Caenorhabditis elegans: one gene and its partners. The protein of the gene in region 1 purifies or fractionates together with the protein of each later gene. This does not show direct contact. Each region holds a gene or a part of one and is shown on either strand. Other genes may lie near its edges.

What was found.
Region 2: the proteins of rnr-1 (region 1) and ani-1 fractionate together in Caenorhabditis elegans (co-fractionation; one large-scale study listed by BioGRID). This does not show direct contact.
Region 3: the proteins of rnr-1 (region 1) and cdt-1 fractionate together in Caenorhabditis elegans (co-fractionation; one large-scale study listed by BioGRID). This does not show direct contact.

What each region holds. Positions count from the first base shown.
Region 1 is NC_003281.10:9,226,421-9,230,428, reverse strand, and holds the start of rnr-1 (Ribonucleoside-diphosphate reductase large subunit), read left to right. Parts: upstream 1-2,178; 5' UTR 2,179-2,180; coding exon 2,181-2,306; intron 2,307-2,350; coding exon 2,351-2,629; intron 2,630-2,676; coding exon 2,677-3,407; intron 3,408-3,454; exon of another isoform or gene 3,455-3,579; intron 3,580-3,629; coding exon 3,630-4,008. Other genes in the region: T23G5.3 (uncharacterized protein), read left to right, coding at 366-493, 543-845, 899-1,013, 1,087-1,194. UniProt on the Caenorhabditis elegans protein: Provides the precursors necessary for DNA synthesis. Catalyzes the biosynthesis of deoxyribonucleotides from the corresponding ribonucleotides.
Region 2 is NC_003281.10:12,451,481-12,455,488, reverse strand, and holds the start of ani-1 (Anillin-like protein 1), read left to right. Parts: upstream 1-2,286; 5' UTR 2,287-2,304; coding exon 2,305-2,431; intron 2,432-2,496; coding exon 2,497-3,212; intron 3,213-4,008. Other genes in the region: scav-3 (Sensory neuron membrane protein 2), read left to right, coding at 1-142, 439-567, 672-1,053, 1,133-1,376, 1,425-1,620, 1,674-1,763. UniProt on the Caenorhabditis elegans protein: Required for contractile events in embryos that occur prior to mitosis, such as cortical ruffling and pseudocleavage. Promotes membrane ruffling by organizing cortical patches of septins and myosin II. Not generally required for cytokinesis in mitotic cells.
Region 3 is NC_003279.8:3,226,206-3,230,213, reverse strand, and holds the start of cdt-1 (CDT1 Geminin-binding domain-containing protein), read left to right. Parts: upstream 1-2,109; 5' UTR 2,110-2,246; coding exon 2,247-2,312; intron 2,313-2,371; coding exon 2,372-3,335; intron 3,336-4,008. Other genes in the region: txl-1 (Thioredoxin-like protein), read right to left, coding at 516-766.

The DNA of each region.
Region 1 (4,008 bases):
CTCTGAACACATCAGTTATAAAATATATTAACACTCCATTAAATAGAATAAAACCTCATTTGGTCAACTAACCTTCCCCAAGATTCCCAATGCCTTGTGTTAAATACTCTGCGTATATGTCTACGTCATCAAACATCTGCAGGCCCATTGAATCATTCAAATAATTTTCCACCACCACCCGTTGCCATACTTTTCACCCGACACCACAACCACTAACACCATTCCCTTGACCTCCTCCTGGTGTGACGTAGCGCACTGTTCAAAAGCAATGACCAACTGGTTGTTGGGTGCCTGTGACGTCAATTTGTGACGTAGGCAAGAATGGGGGTTACGGTAGATTGGGAAAATTTGAATGCTTATTTCAGGATGGTAGACTCTTCATCGACCGTGATTCTTCAGTATTTCCGGTTATTCTCAACTTTCTAAGAGATCATGAGAAATGTTCATTGCCAAAAGACGAATATCAGCTTATGCGAATCTTACGTGAAGCGGTGTAAGTTCGGAACAAATCAGAATATTGCAAAAAGTATAAATCATTATAGATTTTTCAAAATTGGACCACTTCGAAACATGATAGAACATAAGCTGCGAACATTTTGTACTTGCCCACCTGAACTTCCATCAACTCCAATACCGAACCAAATCTTGACCCAAAAAGAAAATGTTCCGATTGTCCCACGTAATCTTCTTCTTTCGAAACCACCTCCACCTCCACCACCACCACTTCCGTCATTGATGCAGCCGAAGGATACTGTACAAATTCCGATGAGAAAACCTCCAACTGGCAGAAATTCCAAAAAAATTAAAACGTCTGCAGATTCGATTAGTCTTCCAAGGAACTTTACGTGAGATTTGGATATCTTTTATCTATTAATTACTTACAAAAGTTTATTTTCAGACATATTGCACATGTTGGTTGGAATGGTGCATCGGTACTTTTTGATAAGAAAATGACTGATGATCCGACTGTGAGGAAAATCTGTGATGCTGCTGCAGAGGCAGTTGATCTTAGTGTGAGTAACTTTCTTGAAAATTAGTAGAATATCTATAGAATTATAAAATTAAAATTCATTTATCTATTTTCAGGCGGTATACAATGTTGTCAACAAAAATGCGGATGAGGAGAGCCATAGCGTGGAAGTGCTCATAACTGGAGGATTAATGCAGTCAAGAGATGGAACATCTCGTCACTAACCATTTGAATATATCTGTGTCAAAATAAATTATTTATGTCATGTCTTGCATGCCAACAGATACGCGTTTTTCGAATTTTCGAAAATTCGCAATCACAGCTGGTGGTTTTTTATTGTCTGAATTGACCGACAGCAAATTTTAGTGATCTCTGACAAAACATCAGAAAATAAAAAACTACGCTTTTTTGTCCGCAGTTTGAAAATTTAAGGAAAAACTGAATATAAATATTATTTCATCGAAACATGTTTTTTTCTTTAAAAAATTACCGTACTCTTTCAAAGGCGCACGCATAAAGTTTTTAAATACAATATTTCGTGTCGAGACCATTACAGTAACCCGCGGCAAAATTGTGTTTTACAGCTTTTATTTTCGGGGTTTCTTCTGATCTTATGCATTTTTATGTGGTTTTATTTTGAATTTTACGTTTTTTTTTAAATTTCAGAGCAATGAAATGCGATTATCGGACTTGTCCTAAAGGGCGGAGCCATGGTTAGAGGCGGTGCTTGTGGTGCCGAAGGGTATAAATAGATTTTTTCCTCACACAGAAAACTAAACACATTTTTTGTTTAAATGAAATTCTTCAGCTGTGAATTAATATTTCATTTCAAACTGCCGTAGTTAGAAATGCTCAGGACCGTGGATTTTCGGTTTGAATTTCTAGGCCAATTTTGTGTGTTTCGACATTAGCTCACTTCTATCAGAAAACCATATTGAAGCCAGAATTCGTAGGAAAATATAATGTATTCTGTTTCACTGTAATACTTGTTTTTTCTATGAGACCAAGATTTCAATAATTCGTTTTCCTTTTGAATTTGAATTCCGATGGAGCGCGTTTGTTTGGTCTGCGTCTCGTTTTCGCGCGTTCCTCTATTACCTAGGCGCGAAAACTAGTAAATTTGAGATGAACTGGTCATTTGAAAATTCTCTCCGCTCCTCCATTTTCACTCTTTTCTTCTCAAATTGTTAATAATTCATCTTTTCCAGTTATGCAACGTTACAACAGCACTTATGTTGTCAAGCGGGATGGGCGAAAGGAAGATGTACACTTCGACAAGATCACTTCCAGAATTCAGAAGCTGAGCTATGGATTGAACATGGATTTTGTCGATCCGGTTTGTTATTAAACACAAGTTCAATGATGAATTAAATTTTCCAGGTCGCTGTTGCAATCAAAGTTATCAGTGGCTTGTACAAAGGAGTGACAACTGTTGAGTTGGATAATCTTGCTGCAGAGACTGCTGCTTCCATGACCACACAACATCCGGAATATGCTCTTCTTGCCGCTCGAATCGCCGTTTCGAACTTGCACAAGAAAACGAATAAGGTGTTCTCGGAAGTTATGAAAACCCTTCACGAGTTCCATCATCCTCATACCGGAAAACACGCACCAATGATCAGTGATGAGACTTGGGCTATCATTGAGAAGAATGCTGATGTTAGTTTTCCTAGGAATTGCATTTATTCAAAAAAATTTCATTTCAGAAGCTGAATTCCGCCATCGTCTACGATCGTGACTATTCCTACACCTATTTCGGATTCAAAACACTGGAGCGTTCCTACCTTCTCAAGATAAACAAGGAGATTGTCGAGCGCCCACAGCAGATGTTGATGCGTGTTTCTATTGGAATCCATGGAGATGATATTACTTCCGCAATCGAGACCTATAATCTGATGTCGGAGCGTTACATGACCCATGCGTCCCCAACTCTCTTCAATTCGGGAACATGCCGTCCTCAGATGTCTTCATGCTTCCTTCTGACAATGAGTGAAGACTCCATTCTCGGAATCTACGATACATTGAAGCAGTGTGCTCTTATTTCAAAAAGTGCCGGAGGAATCGGACTCAATGTTCACAAAATTCGCGCCACTGGATCTGTGATCGCTGGAACTAATGGAACATCTAACGGACTCATACCAATGCTTCGTGTCTACAATAATACTGCTCGTTATGTTGATCAAGGAGGAAACAAACGCCCAGGAGCATTTGCTATTTACCTGGAGCCATGGCACGCCGATATCTTCGAGTTTGTATCTCTCCGCAAGAACACTGGACCGGAAGAGGAACGTGCCAGAGACCTGTTCCTTGCTCTTTGGATTCCAGATCTCTTTATGAAGCGAGTCGAGAAGGATCAAGAATGGTCGTTGATGTGCCCATGTGAATGTCCAGGACTTGATGATTGCTGGGGAGAGGAGTTCGAAGCTCTTTACGCCAAGTAAGTATCTCCTGGTTCTTATTTTTTTAATTACCGAAGTGCGATATCCAGACAGAACTTTAAGAGTACTGCTTGGACTGAGTTTACTAACTTCGAATATGAAATAGTTGATCGATAACCGGAATATACTCAAAAAAAAAGGTGTGCTCCGGACAAAAATCAACTAACAAAAACTTTTAAACAGTGAAGTTAAATTTGCAAAGTTCATATCAAAATTTCCAGATACGAAGCCGAGGGACGAGTCCGCAAAACGGTGAAGGCCCGCAAGCTCTGGGAGCACATCGTTTCCAACCAAATCGAGACCGGGCTTCCATACATCACCTACAAAGATGCCGCCAATCGCAAGTCTAACCAGCAAAATCTTGGAACTATCAAGTGTTCCAACTTGTGCACTGAAATCATAGAGTACTCTGCTCCAGATGAGATTGCAGTTTGCAACCTTGCTTCCATTGCTCTCAATCGCTACGTGACCCCCGAGAAAAAGTTCGACTTCGTCAAACTGGCTGAGGTGACTAAAGTTATAACCAGAAATTTGAATAAGATTATTGACGTCAACTACTATCCAGTCGAGGAGGCTCGCAACTCTAATATGCGCCATCGC
Region 2 (4,008 bases), 3.2 Mb from region 1:
CCATTTGGATATGAAGGTTACAATTCCGAATATTGTATTTCAAAAGCTCATCGACGCGGCTGATGTGACAATTTTTGGAGTTCGAATCAAATTTGCTATTGAGTCAGTGCTAAAAATGGTCTCCGAGGCTCCGTATATTACGGTATAGTTTTTTCTAAGAATGCGTATTGGACAGCATATTTGACGCGCAAAATATGAAATATCTCGCAGCGAAAACTACAGTAATTCGTTGAATGGCTACTGTAGCGCTTGTGTCGATTTACGGGCTCGAATTTTTTTCAATTCGAGCCCGTAAATCGACAACTCTCCAGCAGTCTCATTTAAAGAATTACTGTAGTTTTCGCTACGAGATATTTCACATTTTGCGCGTCAAATATGTTGTGCAATACGCAATTCTCGGAATTTTGTGCTCTCCGTAATATAATAGTGAAATTTTAGGTAAAAGTAAGCGATGCTCTATTCGACGGATACGAAGACCCGATAATCGATATCGTTTGTAAAAATAAAATTCTTCAATTCCTCTGCGAAACGAATTCTCTTCAGCGGAGAGTTGGATTCTTTTATGGGGTAAGATATGAGTTTGCAAGGTGCCGCACAGAAAAATAGGCGGAGCCAAATTTTGCGCAACCATGCCGCACGGTTTTCCTTCCAAAATATTGATTTTTCTTCAGCAAAATGGAACAACAGACGGAATATACGAAGTGGATGCTGGCGTGCCATCTCCATCGAAAATCGGTCATTTATACACGTGGAATAATATGACAGAAATGCCCGAAGGAACATGGGATACTAAATACGCACGAATGATTAACGGAACCGATGGACAATTGTTCAGTCCGATGCTGAAACGAGAAGACAGATTGACGATATTTGTGCCGCAAATATGTAGATCAATTCAAATGGAATACACAAAAGATGTCGCTGTGAATGGGGTTCCTTCGTGGAGATATGCACCACCTTTGGATCTTTACGATCCTGCTCTTCCGCAGAATCGAGCATTTTGTAATAAGAATGGAATGCCGCGATATTTTGATAATACTACTGTGCAAATTGGTGAGAGAGAGAGAGAGAGTTTTATTTTAAAAAATTCGATTGTAAATTTAAATTTAAATTTTAATATTAATTTTTCCAGAAAACTGCCTCCCTGCCGGTCTTATCGACTTGTCACGATGCCAAGCCGGCAATCCACGTGTCTATCTATCCAATCCACACTTCTACAACTCACCAATGGAGCTGTGGCATTCCGTCACTGGGCTCTCGGTGCCAACTGCTTCAAATGACCTGACTGTTGTAGATATTGAGCCAACTGCCGGCGTTCCAACTCAAGCGAAAAGAATTATGCAGATTAATGTGGGAATGGTCAAGGGATCCTTGAGGTTTACCTATTACGAAATTGAAATCTCTAATAATTATCGATTTTTCAGTGTCACCGAAAACACGACAAACGTCGTTGTTCCAGTCCTTTGGATGAACGAAACTGCGTATTTCGATCAAGGAACTCGTGATCAGCTGATTAATATTTTCAACGCAAAACATTATTCATTTATTGGAGGTGTTATCAGCTTGTCACTTGGTCTTATCGCCTGGCTTGCCGTTTTTGTTGTAATCATTGTTTATTCGGTAATTATATTATTGTTGGTTTTCTGCAAAATTCAATTTCCTCTAATTTACAGCGACAATCCGACGAAGAAGAGTACGGACGTCTTGTGCTGGAGGATGAGGACGAAGAGCCTGCGCAAGACGAGAACGCAGTTTTGGCATAAATTTAAAAATTTAAATCATTTTTAATCATATTGTGATAATTTCGAATTTTTGATGCAGGTTGCAATAATTCTGGTGCTCACACGACTTAATATGGCACTTTTTCTTGTAAATATTAATTGAATAAATGATTTTTTTCGAAATTTTTTTTTATTTTGACGAAATCCCGCGAGAGGGAGAGAGAGAGAGAGCACGCGAAAAGAAGAGACGCAGATGCGCGGGATTAAAGGCGCGTTTTTTTTCACGCGTGGGTCCCACCACGCGTCGAGACCTGGTTGCCGCCAAAACAATGTATTCAAATTTTGCAACTCGATTTTAAACGTTTTTCGATTTTTTGACGTGAATTTTCACATTTTTCCTGTTTTTTGACACGTTTTCCACGAATTTTGCCCGATATAAACGCGTATTAGTCAATTTTAATTATTTTCTACAAGAAAAGCTGCGAAAAGTGCGTCGTTTTACGAATTCGTTGAAACTGTTCGCAAGTTTTGATGAGATTTTCTTGGAAACATTGTTTTCTTGCAGAACTACACTGTAAATACAATGGGGGATCAATTCGATTCTCTAATGGAACGCATACGAGTTCGGCAAGCCGAAATGTCAGGCGAAGGAGAGGTGGCAAAGGAGAATGGGCCAGTGACCTCAAAAATTACATCTGTGAAGCAAGAAGGTATATTTTGGGGTTTTTAAGAATACAGAAATATAAATATATTAATTAATATGTTTGATTTTCAGTTGCATCTCCAACAAAAGTCTTCGGAAGCTCCTCAAAATGCAACGACGGCCCGTCAACTCCAGTGCATTTTCACCCTCAAGAGCCAAAGGAGACAACTCCAAATATGAAGGAAAACGCTGAAAATTCATTAAATTCGTTCAAAGATGCCACAGTCAACGAGTCAAGCTCCAAAAAGACGTCGAGATTCTCAATGTTGGCTCAAGAAATCGATGAATACGAATATGACTACCAATCACAGTACAATAAGCCGAAAGAAGCATATATGAAGGGAAGATCTCCACGAATGTCGATCGGAGAGACACGTCCAGCAGTCCTGTGTACTCCGGCTGGAGCACAAGCCATGAAAAGCCCAAATGTAGCGGTATCGTCGAAAAGTGCTCCCGAAATCGCTCTCGGAATGTCGGATTTCGAAGCTCGCCGCATCAAATTCGCCCAGCCAATTGTGAATGTGAACTATCTGCCCAACGAATCGTCGATTTTCTCCGGAGGATCCGGATCATCTGTAAACGATCAGAGCACTGTGCTCGGAGGCTCTGCCGAAATGATGAACGTCACCACGTCGTCGCTGAGCTGTGGAGAGCTGTCGATGAATCAGCATATAACACACGAAAATACGATTATCAACGCACAATCGTGTGATAATCGAGAGGCGATTTTGAGAGAAAGACAGCAAGTTTCAAACGAAGAATATGGACCGCACACATTTATGAGAAAGGTAGAATGTTGGGAAAAGTCAATGTCCCTTTAACGAGCTCGTGTACTGTGCGTGGACAATCGCGAATTTATTTTCGTGCAGGATTTCACGGTTTTTCGTTAATTTTTCTCATTCAAAATTGCCAATCTACCTAATATTGTCGTATTTTCTCAAGATTTTGACTTGCCTTCTTAAAGGTGGATTACGCTCATTGGGGAAATTGCTTTAAACCCGCCTATGGGGTCACAATGACCGAATATCATAATAAAAAAATTTTCTAGGTTTTATATGATTTTTTGAAAATTGAAAAAATCTCAGTTTTTGCCTAATTCCTATTTGAATTACCGCCAATTGGATTTGTTCGATGGAGCGCGCTTGCGCGTTTTTAAATTTATTTATTTTATTTTTTTTTGTTATTTTCCACCGATTTTTCATGTTTTCTGTGTATTTTTACAGAAAATTTGAAGGAAAAGTCAAGACAAATGCAAATTTTCGATTAAAAAGCACGCTTACGAGCGTAAAAATGGAAAAGTAACGCTTTTAAACGATTTCGAACCTGAATTAATTAATTTCACTGATTTACGCCTGTACGTTTGCTTTTTAATCGAAAATTTGCATTTATCTTGACTTTTTCTCTAAAATTCGAGCAAAAATACACCGAAAACATTAAAAAATTGGTGGAAAATAACAAAAAATAAAATAAATGAATTTAAAAACGTGCAAGCGCGCTCCATCGAACAAATCCAATTGGCGGTAATTCAAACAGGAATTAGGCAAAAACTGAGATTTTTTCAATTTTCAAAAAATCATATAAAAT
Region 3 (4,008 bases), on another chromosome or scaffold:
ACGAGCCAATTTGCAAGAAATTTATCGGTTTCCAAATTAAATTTTTTTTAATTAATCAAAACAAGGCTCTGCAATTTTCAATATGCTATAATCCAACTTTTTGATCTAAACTTTATATAGGAATGTAATTTAAAAAAGGTCTGTTCCATGTGAAAAAATTATTTATTTTTTTTGAAAAATTTGAAATAGGCCTCGCACCATTTGAGGCCTTTTTCAAAATTTTCAACAAAAATAAATATTATTTTCAGATGGAACATAAATTTTTTCTACATTTCTATATCAATTTTAGATCAAAAAGTTGGATTATAGCATATTAAAAATGGCAGAGCCCTGTTTTGATTATCTTTAAAAAATTTAATTTGGAAACTCATAAATTTCTTGCAAATTGGCTCGTAAAACCTGCAAAAATCAATATTTTCAAGATATTCAAAATGAAATAATTTCTGAGACTTCACTTTTTTGCAATTTCTTCAAATTTCCCGCATTTCTATTCCAATTCCAGATGAGACCCATACCCGCTCTGGAAAACCATGAACGTTGGCATCGAATTGACACCGTTCTCTGAGCTGGTTTTCTCGCAGATCTCCACATCAACTTTCAGAAAAACTGCTCCAAGATATTGATTGGACAGAGCTTCAAATGTTGGAGCAATCATTTTGCACGGTCCGCACCAGACTGCAGTGAAATCGACAATCACTGACTTGAGACCAGCGAGGGAAAGCTGATTTCTGAAGTCTTCGTCGTCTTTCACGTTGATAACTGGCATGGTGTAGGGGAGATGGGCTGAAAATTAATTTAATATTTAGATTACTGCACTTATTTTTTTAAGGTGGTGTAGTCGAATTTTTTTAAAATTGCTTCATTAGACTCAAAATTGTCTCAAAACACCGAATTTCATGATGAAACTGCTTGAAAACTTCTCAAAAAAAGTTATGACTGCTCAAAAAATGGCCTAAAATTAGTTAAAATTTGAAATTAGACCGACTTTTCAAGCGGCTAAAAACTACCTTTTTTGAAATCACCGTCAAATTTTGAGTATATATAAAATGTAATTATCTTGCGTTTTCAACTCGATTTAGGTATTTTAAAGTCGATGGACGGCGAGATTTGGTTTAAAAAATTTAAAAATCTCGCCGTCCATCGACTTCAAAATATCTGAATCAAATTGAAAATGCAAGATAATATAATTGTATACTCAAAATTAGACGGTAATTTCAAAAAAGTTAGTTTCCAGCCGCTTGACAAGTCGGTCAAATTTCAAATTTTAACTAATTTTAGGCCATTTTTTGAGCAGTCATAACTTTTTTTGAGAAGTTTTCAAGCAGTTTCATCATGAAATTCGGTGTTTTGAGACAATTTTGAGTCTAATGAAGCAATTTTAAAAAAATTCGACTACGCCACCTTTAAAATACGGATTTTTAATCGAAAAATGCAAAATAATCTCAAAAAATGGGAAAAATCCCCAAAATCTAAAGAAAAATTAAAGAAAAAAATTGGGTTTTGAAAAAAGTTGTTATTTTGTAGTTGAATTTGTTGAATTTTTCCCGCTGAAATTCCAATTTTTAAGCTTTCGCATCATTTTTTTTGGGATTTCTGGCAAAAGCTATTGTAAATACTCCCGGAACAATGCACGAATATATTTTAGCTATTTAATACGCAGAAATTGTGAAATTTCGTTATTTTTTGGGCGATTTCTGGGGAAATTTTGACCGAAAAATTGTAATTTCTGGGATCACCGCTTCCAAAATTGTTCAGTTTATAGTTCTAGGAGCAAAAGATATCTCATTCAGAAGAAAAAACGAAAAAAAAATTTCAAAAAATATAGGAATCACGCCAATTTAAATAATTATTCATTAAAAAAAAGATTTTTTGAAGGTTTCCACAGTAAAATGCATTCATTCTCAAACTGATTTTTGGGTAATTTTGGGCATTTTACACGCTAAAATAGGTGAAAAGCACTTTTAAACGCTCTGAACACAATTTTAATATGCAAAAAATAGTATAAATTCCGGAAAATTAAGAAAATCGGCATGAAACGTGGATTTGTCAGCATTCAAAATGAATGCCGGTGCGGCGAGGGAGTGCACGAAGCGTGGAGACGCAGCGGACAACAAACGCGCTCCAATGGACAAAAAGTGCGGGAAACCGGGACTGTTCAAAGTGTACGCTTTGTCTGTCGTCTCTCCCATTTATTTTTTGGTTTTCGCGAATAATTTCGCTGAAATTATTATTTATTCCTGATAAAAATGAGTTCCCGGGTGACTAGATCCAGGTCCCAGACTCCGCAGACTGCTGTAACCGACTTTTTCAAGGTAAATTGGAGTTTGAAGTTATGAATTGCAATTATTTAATGTTTTTTTTTCTTTTTCAGACCACCAGAAAACCGAGAGCAAGAGGAGAAAAGAAGATTATCGATGAAAGCATCACAAAGACCACTACAATTAAAGAAGTACAAATTCCTGCTGCTCCAATCGTCGAGAATAAATCCTCCCGAACTCGCGCTCGGACTCCATCCCGTCAAGCGGAATTATCGAGTTCCGGAACTCCGCCAAAAAAAGCTAGAGAAGCTGAAGCAGAAGCCCCTGAGCTTCCCAAAATCCATGAAGATATTATTCTGGAAAATCCGGCTCCTCAGAAGTCAGCGATCGATAAGCTAATGGAAGCATCCGGCCCAGCGAAAAAGAAGGCTGGAATTCGAACTGTTGCAGATTTACAAGCAAGAATAGCTGCAAAAGGAGCAGCTAAAGCGATTCATGAGCAAAATTTGAAGAACAAAACGAAGCAGGTCGATGATCACGTGGAATTGCTGAAATCTCCGAAGAAACCAGTTATTGTTGAGCATCACAAATCACCTCAGAAATCCAAGGCCGCTCGTAATCTGTTCTCACCGAAGAAGCCAGTTCCAGACTATATTATTCCCGGCTTTAATGTCCTGAAATCGGCCGAAAAAGTTCGCGGAGAGCAGGATGATGCTCACGAAGAAGAGGGAAAACGAATGACTGCAGAGTTTCTGAAGAGCTCACGGCTTATTGATGAAGTTAAGGAGAGTGCACGTCAACGGATTGAACTTCCAACTGCGTATGAACATCTCGCTGATACTTTCAAACGAATCGATCAGATCACTGCGATCTTTATCGGTCAGAATCGAAGCTGTGTGGTTCCTGAGTTGATCAAGAATGTTAAGAATACGTCTGGAAAGGATTTTTCCAATGAACATTTGTCACAAATTCTTCATGTATATCCTCAATCATATCATATTGAGATGCGTGAACAGCGAAAAGCATTCGGCCAGGGCGGGAAGTATGAACTTGAGGTTCGACCGAATCTCGTGGAAGGTTCGTAGCTTTCGGTTGGCAATTTGCAATAAAAACATTTAAAAAATCAGCTATTTCTGACGTATTCCATTAAAATTTAGTGTCAGAAAATAGAAAAAATATTATATTAATCGTAAAATAGCATTCTTTTAAGTTTAAAAAGACTTATCGATTTTTCTTCTCTGTTTGATCACCTCCACACATTTTTGAACTCGAAAATATTTAACGATTAATAAAATATTTCTCTATTTTTTAACAGACCCTATTCATGCTCCTGATACTGATTTTTGATGTGAAAATTTTTCAAAAAATTCAAAAAAAAAGCCCTGGTTTTATATTAATTTTTGGAAATTCTAAAAATACTAGCTTTGCTCAAAAAAAAACTGAAAAAAAACACAATTTTCTCTTCAAAAAGTAAGAAAAAACACAGCTTTTTACCAGATGTTCGAAAAAAAAACTTTTTTGTTTAAAAAATCCAAAAAAAAAACAATTTTTTAGTAAAAAAATTCGAAAAAACTCAATTTTAAGAAAAAAATCCGGGAAAAAAACACCGTTTTTTAGTCATAAAATCGGAAAAAAGATAATTCTTTATTCAAAAAATCCGAAAGAGCTCAATTTTTTAGTCATAAAATCCGATAGAACAGCGTTTTTTGTAAAAAAAACCGAAAATACCGAATTTTTATTCAAAAAATCC